2 linked regions of the Neodiprion lecontei genome follow. The protein of the gene in region 2 interacts with the protein of the main gene of each other region in a pairwise test. Links are inferred from orthologs where the notes say so. Each region holds a gene or a part of one and is shown on either strand. Other genes may lie near its edges. The genes, in order: epidermal growth factor receptor substrate 15-like 1 and rho GTPase-activating protein Graf.

Evidence for each region.
Region 1: the proteins of rho GTPase-activating protein Graf (region 2) and epidermal growth factor receptor substrate 15-like 1 interact in a two-hybrid assay, tested with the Caenorhabditis elegans proteins (2 studies listed by BioGRID). The link is inferred for Neodiprion lecontei from reciprocal best matches to the Caenorhabditis elegans genes T04C9.1 and ehs-1.

The regions. Positions count from the first base shown.
Region 1 is NC_060264.1:4,176,392-4,181,590, forward strand, and holds the start of epidermal growth factor receptor substrate 15-like 1, read right to left. Parts: upstream 3,105-5,199; 5' UTR 3,104-3,104; coding exon 3,047-3,103; intron 2,333-3,046; coding exon 2,288-2,332; intron 2,196-2,287; coding exon 1,962-2,195; intron 1,537-1,961; coding exon 1,264-1,536; intron 1,174-1,263; coding exon 967-1,173; intron 830-966; coding exon 666-829; intron 481-665; coding exon 321-480; intron 1-320. Other genes in the region: PCI domain-containing protein 2, read right to left, coding at 3,853-4,373, 4,621-5,102, 5,171-5,199.
Region 2 is NC_060265.1:2,731,784-2,736,793, reverse strand, and holds the start of rho GTPase-activating protein Graf, read right to left. Parts: upstream 3,058-5,010; 5' UTR 2,531-3,057; coding exon 2,371-2,530; intron 1,784-2,370; coding exon 1,626-1,783; intron 1,259-1,625; exon of another isoform or gene 1,247-1,258; intron 1-1,246. Other genes in the region: zinc finger protein 330 homolog, read left to right, coding at 3,302-3,421, 3,557-3,727, 3,818-4,049, 4,181-4,345, 4,427-4,507, 4,606-4,808.

The sequences.
Region 1 (5,199 bases), on a different chromosome or scaffold from region 2:
CAAATATAGTTTAAAGCTGGTGAATACTTTCCAGTTGTTGGCAGAACGAAGAATTAGCTGGTACAATACGATTGGAAGTGACAGATGAAATTGAAGGAATAAAATTTAATCATCACGTATTTATGTTTGGGGCAATTATAATAATTACCGTACTTCTTTACGTATTCTGGAAGGCCTTCAAAGGCCGGAAACGTATTACCAAGCATTAATTTGTTTGGTGAGCTGTTGATGGGTTGAATTATAAATAAAAGAGCACGAATGCTAGTTTTTTCAGCAACTGATTCAAGTAGGTAATTACTCATTGGTTATTCAATACTCACCACAACGTTTTCTGTGAGTTTTCTTAAAGACGGTGGTATCATTTCAGGTGTTAGAGTAGCGGGAGGCTCTTTGCCTCTTAGTTGCTGCTTAATAAGCCACATCGACAGAGCGAATTGTTCCTTATTCAGTTTACCACTTTGACAAATATCGCACAAACCCCTGTTGTGTACAAAATAAATCATTTATCAATGGTTCATCATCGACTGAATGAAGGAACCAAAGCTTAAGGAAAGTATGTTATTTGATTTTTTTCAAGAAGACATAGACTAGTTTACAGGCAAAAAATAATGGCTTAGAACACATTTTTTGAGACAGGTAACGGAATACTTGTAACAAAGATATACCAAATTTGAGCTAAAACAGTCTGTGGTAAGCCGCTCTGTAGAAATACATCTTTGATCTCAGACCCAGATACGTATCCATCCATATCCATGTCTGCTTGCGCAAAGAGCTTGTCCGCAGCTGCCTGATCTTCGGCTGAGATGACCCAGTGTTGAACAGCTGGTGGCTAAAATAATGAATAAGGTGAATCTTATCGTCGAATTATTGTTAAGAAATTAGCAGATCACTCAATCGCGACTCAGGCTAAGTTTTCTATCAAAGTTCCTTCTCTGCTGCATGTTTTGACAAGAAAAAATTGATTACCTTTGTAGATTCTAAACCGACAAGACTGCTGGGAGCAGGTGCAGTAGGTAAAGGAGGAATAGGCGGTGGTCCGCTAACCATTGGGGGTACTGGGGATTTAGCAACTGACATGATGACTTCTTTTCTTTTGCCTGGTGGCATTAATTCTGGAGGTAGCACATTGGGAATAGCATATTTCTCAAGTGCCTTGTAGACCAAATGCATAGCCTGAAGAATACAGATCAAAAAGACAATAATAGTAATAATAGTATGATTACACAAATTAATTATTCGCACTTGACAAGCGACAGGACTTACAATGACAAATTCATGCCTGTCGAGCATTCCATCTTTGTCCATGTCGGCAAGATCCCATATTTTTCCTAGAGTATCAAGAGGCAGTTTGCTATCCATAAGAACACCTTTCACTTTATTTCCTGGAATGTATCCATTAGCTGGTTGTAAGCTGTCAAATAACTGATCATATTTTGTTCGTTCACTTGGTTTTATCGACCAGTCCCCGTTATTCATCGATGTTATTATCCCTGGAGATATAGGCTTTGGTTTTTGGGGTATCACTGGAATTTCACCCTGTAAAACGTTAATTATGTCTCTCTAAAAGTTTCGTCAAACATAGCATACGCATTACCATCAATGATATCAAAAGTTTGTCAAAATCAGTTTGATGTATTCAAATGACTGAGTTGGCCAGAGACCATTGTAAAATATCTTTGAAAAAAAGGAATCTGTAATCTCTGTTCTCTTTCAGATATGAAGTAGACACGCTTGAAGAGGTTTTGAATGTTAAACTGATAAGATAACGAAGCAAATAGTGTTAAACAGCTGTACTCTGCAGTCAACGACAATTGTACTTGAGTGCTTTTTAGTTGTTAATTTCGTTGAAAAAATATTTCCCACTCAATATCCAAATACAAGACAATAACTGATATGTTTGAAAGCTAGTGTTTTTATATTAGATAGAATGACCAGAGTTACTAATAATGATTAAAACCTACCATTTTGGGTGGAGGTGTTTCAATATTGAGGTTTGCCATACTCAAGTCACTTCCTGCCTGAGCGAGGGCGCAAAGTTTTAGCGCGACGAAAAGTCCGGATTTATCCAATGATCCACGCGACTGTGGATCCGCCATATCCCAAATTTTACTAAGCACAACATCGCTCAGCTGTGATTTTTTCAAAAATCGTGCAGCTTCCATCGCTCCGATACGGCCATACCCGTTAGGGTCCACCTTTAGATAAATTGACGTATAGTCGTTTTTCATCACGCTTTACATTACAATTAATAATTTGTATTATATACAGAGGTAAAAGTGTAATTTACCTGATGATAATAGGCCTCATATATGGCGCTGTGGCTTCCAGCCACCTGAAACAATGTTTTTATTGTTTTAGTATTCCACTAATGTAATCAAAAATGTAAATTGTAGTATTATAACTGCAATGTTAGATCCAAAATTAATCGTATATTTATCAACAGGAAGCGAAATAAGATAGTTGGCATTAGGCTAGATAACGTTTAAATGACAGCAATCATTCCTTTTCACATTTCAATTATCTATAGTCTGAAGGAGGTGAACAAAATGTATCTCCGTATAAATGAAGTTACTCGAAAATGCAATAACAAAGGATTTACTCTTTATTCATATTTTTTATTATCTCTTCTTTTAACAACTGTCAAAACGGTTTTCTATCATCAAAGTGAGGAGACGATTCTGAAAAGGGGTGTGCATTGGTAAACGTTCGCCATTTTCATGCGATTCGATTAATGGAAGTAATGTTATCAATGCTAAACAGTACTTGCTGGACGATCAATTTAACTAAATAACGAGGCCCACAGATCCACGATGAAAAAATCACTCGTGTTAAATAAACAAACGAAAATCGGAGATAGCATCGATGCTGTCACGGGTGGCGAGATGCTTAGGTTGACCAAAAAATCGCCTCTTACAGCGACGAGGAGGCGTTTATTGATAGAATTTCATTTATCTTACGAAACAATATCCGCATTACCATTATATCTCACGTAGGGTATTCTCAACAGGAATTAATCAGGGGAAATAATGTAAAAAATATTACATACCTGCGTAGGTGACGGCAAGGCGGCCATACTTGCATCGAATACTAACGCGATTTTCATTGGCCGCGGTCCGAAGGCCCAAGAACCAATAAGGCCCTCAATCAATAGTACGTCATTTTAACGATTTTCACAAATTTAATAACTCTTATTTATACGATCAATTATCACGATAAAACTGACCCTTTATTATGCCCTATTATACAAACGACAGACAAATACTTTCGTCAATTTTCTTACGTTATTACGTAAAGAATTTCTGTATTGCCTACATTGCCATGCAGTACACACGCGTTTGAGTCTAGTGTCAGATTCAAATATACTTTTATGACGCCTTTATGCATCGAAGAAAATTTTTAATCTTCTCTATTTGAATTGTTAAGTAACAAAAAAATATAAAAAACTTGACAGATTATTTTATACCAGTTAAAGTAATCCTCCCCCTTTCGAGACTTGTCTTTTAAATTATCTTCACGATTGCGAAAAAATATGCTTAAGCTCGAAGTCAGTTACATAATTTGAATTTTCGAACGTGTACTCTTCACGAATATATATTGATAGTATTCTAAAATTCGTATTATCATACCATTAGCTTTTATTTCATTGGCAAATGGTCTGACGCATCTTCTGACGTTGGACAAGAGAGAAACAATAGAAATGCGTACTTGTATAACAAGAATATTTAATTCATACCTACAATTACGGGTTTCGTATAAAAGGTATGTATACACAACAGCGGTTTCCTTAACGATATTAATTATAGTATCGTAATCCACTTCAAAATTCACAGAATTTGATTATCGTATTTTTATTCAATTTGAATTCAACGATGACAGTTGCGGGAACGGATTTTGTTTTGAAATGACCAATTTTTTGTGCTGATGAGAAATGTAACCCCTGATTTTACCCTCGTAAATTAAATTGGCTACAAGGCATTCCGTTTCGTCCATATCTACATCGTCAACACCGTGCATTTCAAGAGCAGCCAAAAGACTGGCTACGGGTATTTGATGGGTATTTAAAACGAGATAAACCTTTTTGAACAAATTTCTATACGTAATGAGCTTCAGCTTTTCAACTATTAAGTAAATCCCAGCACTAATAAAGAAGATCTCATGTTTGTTCATCACTTCCTCCAAGCTGCGTAGGTTTCCTCGTTTAACAGCTTCGACCAACTCCCAAAATTCCAATAGATTGTACTTTTCTAACAATGATTTTTTTGGCATATAGCCCAGCAGCATTTTGACGGGAACTAAATACGTCAGAATTAAACGTTTGTTCTTTGCTGATTCTTTGTGGCAACGGACAAAAGCGTAGGTCAGATATTCGTCCGCTGTAACACAATTTAATAACAGGCATTAAATAAATCCACTCTTTAATTTCATTCTAAAAACATCGTTACCAGTTAGATAAAATTAACATCATCTGTATTATACATTTTCAACATTTTTTGATTTAGAAAAGCATAAGTGAAACATTTTTTAATGCTGAGTAATTTAAAAAAAATGAACAATAAGCTACATTTCCAGTTTAAAAGTGACTGTCAGTGGAAAGGCCTGCAACTGACTATTGACGCTTACCAGCTGTGTAATCACTATCGAAAATGGCTTTGCGTCCCATAAAAAATTTATACGTAATTTTTTGCGCGAGCGCGAACTGATCCTTAAGACCGGACGATTCAATGATCCTGATTAGAGGTTTGCATAAATCGAGTTTGTTTATGCGAAAATAGACCTTCCACAGTTGGTTAACCAATGCGAGCATTCCCCATCTTTTCGTGTCATCTTCAGAGTTCCTGTTGTCAGCTGCACAAACTCGAAAACAGCTCATTAGGCACTCAGCACATTTTTCAAGCACCTCACCGGACTTTTGATTTTTACCAAACTTGGATGCTTCAGCTTTAAGGGCTAGACGCCTGAGATCTAAGCACATGGAATTCATTACTGGCAACATCCAATTCTCGTCTTTTTGTAACTGGAGTATCTTTGCCAGTGACTGAATAGCTGCACTCTGATGAGCATACGACGTTAATGCATCGTCTTTATTTAATGACGATATGACCCTGGAAAATGTTTATCAAAAATTTAATTATTTTTGCTTAATAATATCTCTGAAAAATATTCTACTTACTTTATATGGTGTAAAACCAGGTCGTCAAA
Region 2 (5,010 bases):
GCCAGCTTGTTGTTCGAAAGAATTCAGTACAACCGTACCCTGTTGCTCGTACGAAGCACGAAGGCACTCGAGAGGATGACGTTTAAACCACACCCCGATTAATCGGGGTTCTACTGTACGTATAACAGGCATGTAATTACATATGCAATGATCCATGATATGCACATAAATCAATGCTCGTCAATTATTTTACATTCAAATAGACCAGCCATGTCAAAGGTACATCTATTTTTTCTTCATTTTCTTGAATTTGGAAACTGATTACTTCAATACATCAGATATTGATGTATGATATTGTTTGATATGAGGATATTGCTGACTTACTTTACCAAATCAGTTTCATTTCCAAACCATATATAATTGATAAAAGATGCTGCAGAAAGTCTTTTTTATGTATATATATCGTTATAAACTAATGTCAAAGTATTTGCCAACACTGGATGTATCTTTGTTTTTAACATTGTTGAATGAGTGTTGTAATGAAAAAAGGTTTGCAATGATTAATTAACAGTGATTCAAAAGACACGCTTAACAAATATAAACGCATTGCTGTACAAAGCTGTACAATGTTGAATAAATTATTAATACTAGCATAAGAATGAAAAAGTGGTGCCGCGCTATCTCCGTCAAAAACTCGACTACTTTGTATTTTTTATGCGCACTAGTGCTTATAAAAACTACACATTATTCTCGTTTTTGACTGGAGGTAATACAGAAAATAGGTTTTGTGGCATGTGCGTGTATAGGTATATATATTCGCACTTTGCACTCGTCAAGGAATTCCCAATTTATGCGCATTTGCAATAAAAATAACTATTAATGTAACTTGATGTACAAAGCCTTAATAAGTATCATTGGTTATACTCTATCACACCGTTTCTACAGGAATATTAGAAAACCGGCTACATTTGATGGTTAGTTAAATAATACACGATAGTTATGTAATTAGATAAGACGTATTTATGAAGAGAAATGAATTTTGCGCTGACAGCAAAGTTTATACTTCGAAATGAAAGGATGTCGCACATTTTGATAACTTTGTTATAAAAAGTATATTCCTTTGAATATAATATTGCGTATTTTAATTGTCACTGTTGTTCAAATCAAAATATATATACGTAAATAATATTACTAATTTTGGTCTATAAACTATAAACTGTGAATGAAATGAGTCAACTATAGAATAGCTATGAATATTGGGTAAATGTATATTAAAAACGTTCATGCAAAGTAATATAATACTTGCGTGTCTTAATTTGTCCACTAGGTATAAAAACAAAAGACTTGGTTAGAAAGTTAATTGATTTATAATTTGAATAACACATTAACATGTTTAGCTCATACTTTGAGTATAAGGTCAAACTTTTATTGAATTAACAATTAATAGCATTTTTCACTGGCTGTACTTGGTATACAGTGAGTGCAATTTTTGCAGTATTCAACCAATAGCAGAAGCAGAATCCTAGGAAAATCGCACAGCGTGTAGCCAGTGAAAACTTCTATAATTGTATATAAATTATACTAAATTTCATAAAATATTATTGATCAACTCAATTTAAGTAAAACATAGATCAAAATATGCAAACATTTTAGGATAAATTTTTTCAACATTAACTGGGTCATACCATGCGATCACGCTCGTCCTCAATCGATGCGATAAGTCTACCAAATTCTTTCAAACTCTGTGATATGTGTGTTTCGTCCTCGGTTTGTGTTTCGCCAATACATTCAAAACTGAAGTTCTGAAGTGTTTTCGAGAATGTTCTTTGAGCTCGTGATAAATCTGCAAATCAAGATCACGGTAATAAACCTCATTAGCTAATCATGCATCTAAAAATTAGTATTACGTAATTTATTAGCTGTGACTGAAGACTCGATTCAATTTTCTATCGCTTTAAATGAAATTGGTATAACTTCTTTAAATAAGATTTGGTAGCTAATGCCTTAGGTGATGTATCAATTTAAAAAATTCAAGAATTATCGAAGAGCTAGCAAGTTGCCTCAGTATGAGCCTGACTGAATTTTCTTTCAACAAATAAGTTTATGTTGCGTCAAGGATACAAGCTCTATTCAAATGATATTGAAAATCGTTTTTTTACTTCTGGTTAGAATCAGATAGTAATATATATATGTCAATTTATATAATTCTTGGAATAGATTACTCTTTCTTTACACAAGACTTGTTTAACATATAGCAGAAAAATTCAACCAGTTATGTTTTAAGTGGATTTTCGCCCTTTTAAGGCCCTGAAGTTTGTGGGACTGCTGCATTGTCCTAATGTTCAGACGGCAATAAGGATAGTAAAATGCAGCGATAAAATTTTTTTGTCAAACTTACTTTATGGAGTCGTAAATGTGAAAAAAACTTACTTCTGGCAGCTATAAGCAAATCCTTGACCTCCTTTATCAAGCGTTTTATCTGTTGACTGGTTTTGTCTAATTCGCGTTCATGGGAATGAAGATTATCACGAAAATAGGGACTGTCCGTCAAACAGTCGGTAAATTCCAGCGGTTCCAGACCAACACCCATTATTATTAATTATCTTTCAAAGGATCGTATAATCATTCACAACTGAGTTAAATCAACTGCAAGCACAAATCTTGTAACGCTAAAATACGTAGGTGCGTTACCACAGAGAACGCGAAAGCTTTGCGGCACAGTTCAACTGCATTTATAATTTTCTTCGACAATTAATCCACAATCTGGAAGATGTCAATCAAGATTGCCAATGGAAGTATCAACACAGCCAATGGCTTAATTGTCCCAGTTATCACTAATCACGGAACAAAAATACGTCGTCTCCACTCCACCACGGCTCCACCGCTTTCCGTTGAAAATTATTGAAAAAAAAACTTCAGAGATGAGAGACTCAAAAGCATAATTCATGAATAGAATAACAATATAGCAAACGTCAATTTAGATTTTAATGATCAATTTTAGGAACGCGTCCTCGGGTATAATCATGAGATAACCGATGACGACAGATGTCCAAGCTTTACCACGGTTCAACAATATATACATGTGTATCCTCTTCCCCTTTGTAAAAGATGGAGCTGATTGTAAAATTGGCTGACGGCCATTGACCAATGAACGCATGGCGTAACATTGGGTGACAACCACTCACGAGATAGCTCGGAGCAAATCGGAGCGCAGGCTTGTTCGGAGTGCTGTTCGGTAAAACATAACCGTAATTTAATCACCGAATCCGGGTCAATACCATCGATACCGAAAAAATATACAATAGTTTTCGGCTTTACTTGGGTGTATTTTGATTTGCAAGTTATAAGCCAGTAAGCGATTATGCCGAAAAAAAAGACAGGTCAAAGGAAAAAGGCTGAGAAACAAAAGTTAAGACAAAAGGAAATTCGCACTGCCAAAGGTCAGATAGACCTTGCAAAATTTCCTAGCAATGCAATAATGGCAAGTATCATTGATGAGCAATACTTTGTTTTCGATCAAATAACCAAGTGACCTGTTTATTCATTTTTAACAAATATCCAAGCTAACTTCGGACCCTCTCTGTAAGTTTCGATAGTTATTAGGATTTTACTGCAGGAATGCGACAAGTGCAATAGAAAGCAGAAGAGTCGGGCATTTTGTTATTTCTGTCAGAGTGTTCAGCGTTTGCCAATATGTGCTCAATGTGGCAAAGTCAAATGCATGTTGAAGACTGGAGATTGTGTCGTTCGACATGTCGGAGTTTTTACAACTGGCCTTGGTATGGTGGTGCGTAAAATTTCAATTTTTGTCTAGAGTAATTTGACAATTTTTCCACAGTGATTTGCAGTTACATTCAAAACAAGTTTTATAATTTAGGGAGCAATATGTGACCACTGCGAGGCATGGGTATGCCATGGTAGACGATGTCTGACTTCCCATGCTTGTACTTGTCCGTTGATGGATGCAGTTTGTCAGGAGTGTGAACGAGGGGTATGGGATCACGGCGGCAGAATATTTCGATGCTCTTTCTGTGACTGCTTTCTGTGTGAAGATGATCAATTTGAGCATCAGGCATCTTGCCAAGTATTGGAGTCTGAAAGTTTCAAATGTAATTATGAAATATATTTTCACATGTTTTTATTATTCAAATATTTGGCACCACTAGTACAGTCAAGTAAAACACTGAATGACAAACCTGAAACCGAGATATTCAAGAGAATTGTTTTGAAAAAATTGCAGGTCAGTCCTGCAATAAGCTTGGACAATATTCTTGTCTGAGATGTAAAACGTGCTACTGTGAAGATCATGTTCGAAGGAAAGGTTTCAAGTACGAGAAGAACAAGCCAATTCCATGCCCCAAGTGCAGTTACGAAACCTCTCAAACAAAGGATCTTAGTATGTCAAGTAAGTTACAAAATTGGTACCATACTTCTTATATTAACAGCGATGTAACATCTATGAATCATATAATCTTCACTCTTACAGCAAGGAGCCATAAATTTGGTCGGCAAAATCAAGCAGGAACCTATGATTCTGATGAAGAAGATGGAGGATACGGATATTATGGTAAGATTTATTCAGTTTGTTTACTACGATTCAGAAAAACTTCGCACTAAATTTTTAAAAACGTTTTCTTAACAAAGATGTTCAATACTCTTGCACAGGTAATAGTACTCATAGCTATGGGGATTATGCAGATGACGCTGAAGACGCCGATGACGACGAAGATGACGAAGGTGAAAGTTCAGGTGAAGATGAAGAGGATGAGGAAGAAGAAAGTTCGTGTGATGAGGAGGAAAATACTAATCAGTCTGATTCTAAATGCGACAAGACATCTAAAATGGACAAAGGGACATCTGCTAGCTGAAATTGGGATAGTTAATTAATTGAGTATAGAGATTATTTCTATTGAAGAGGAGAGACCGTAAGGGGGACCATTTTATAAACTATCTGATAGTGAATAACATTTCACTTGCATTAGTTTTGCTCTGAAAAAAAAAAAATTTATTTATGATACAAAATTGACTAATTGATCTATGATGAAAAGCCATTTAAATTATTCGTATAAA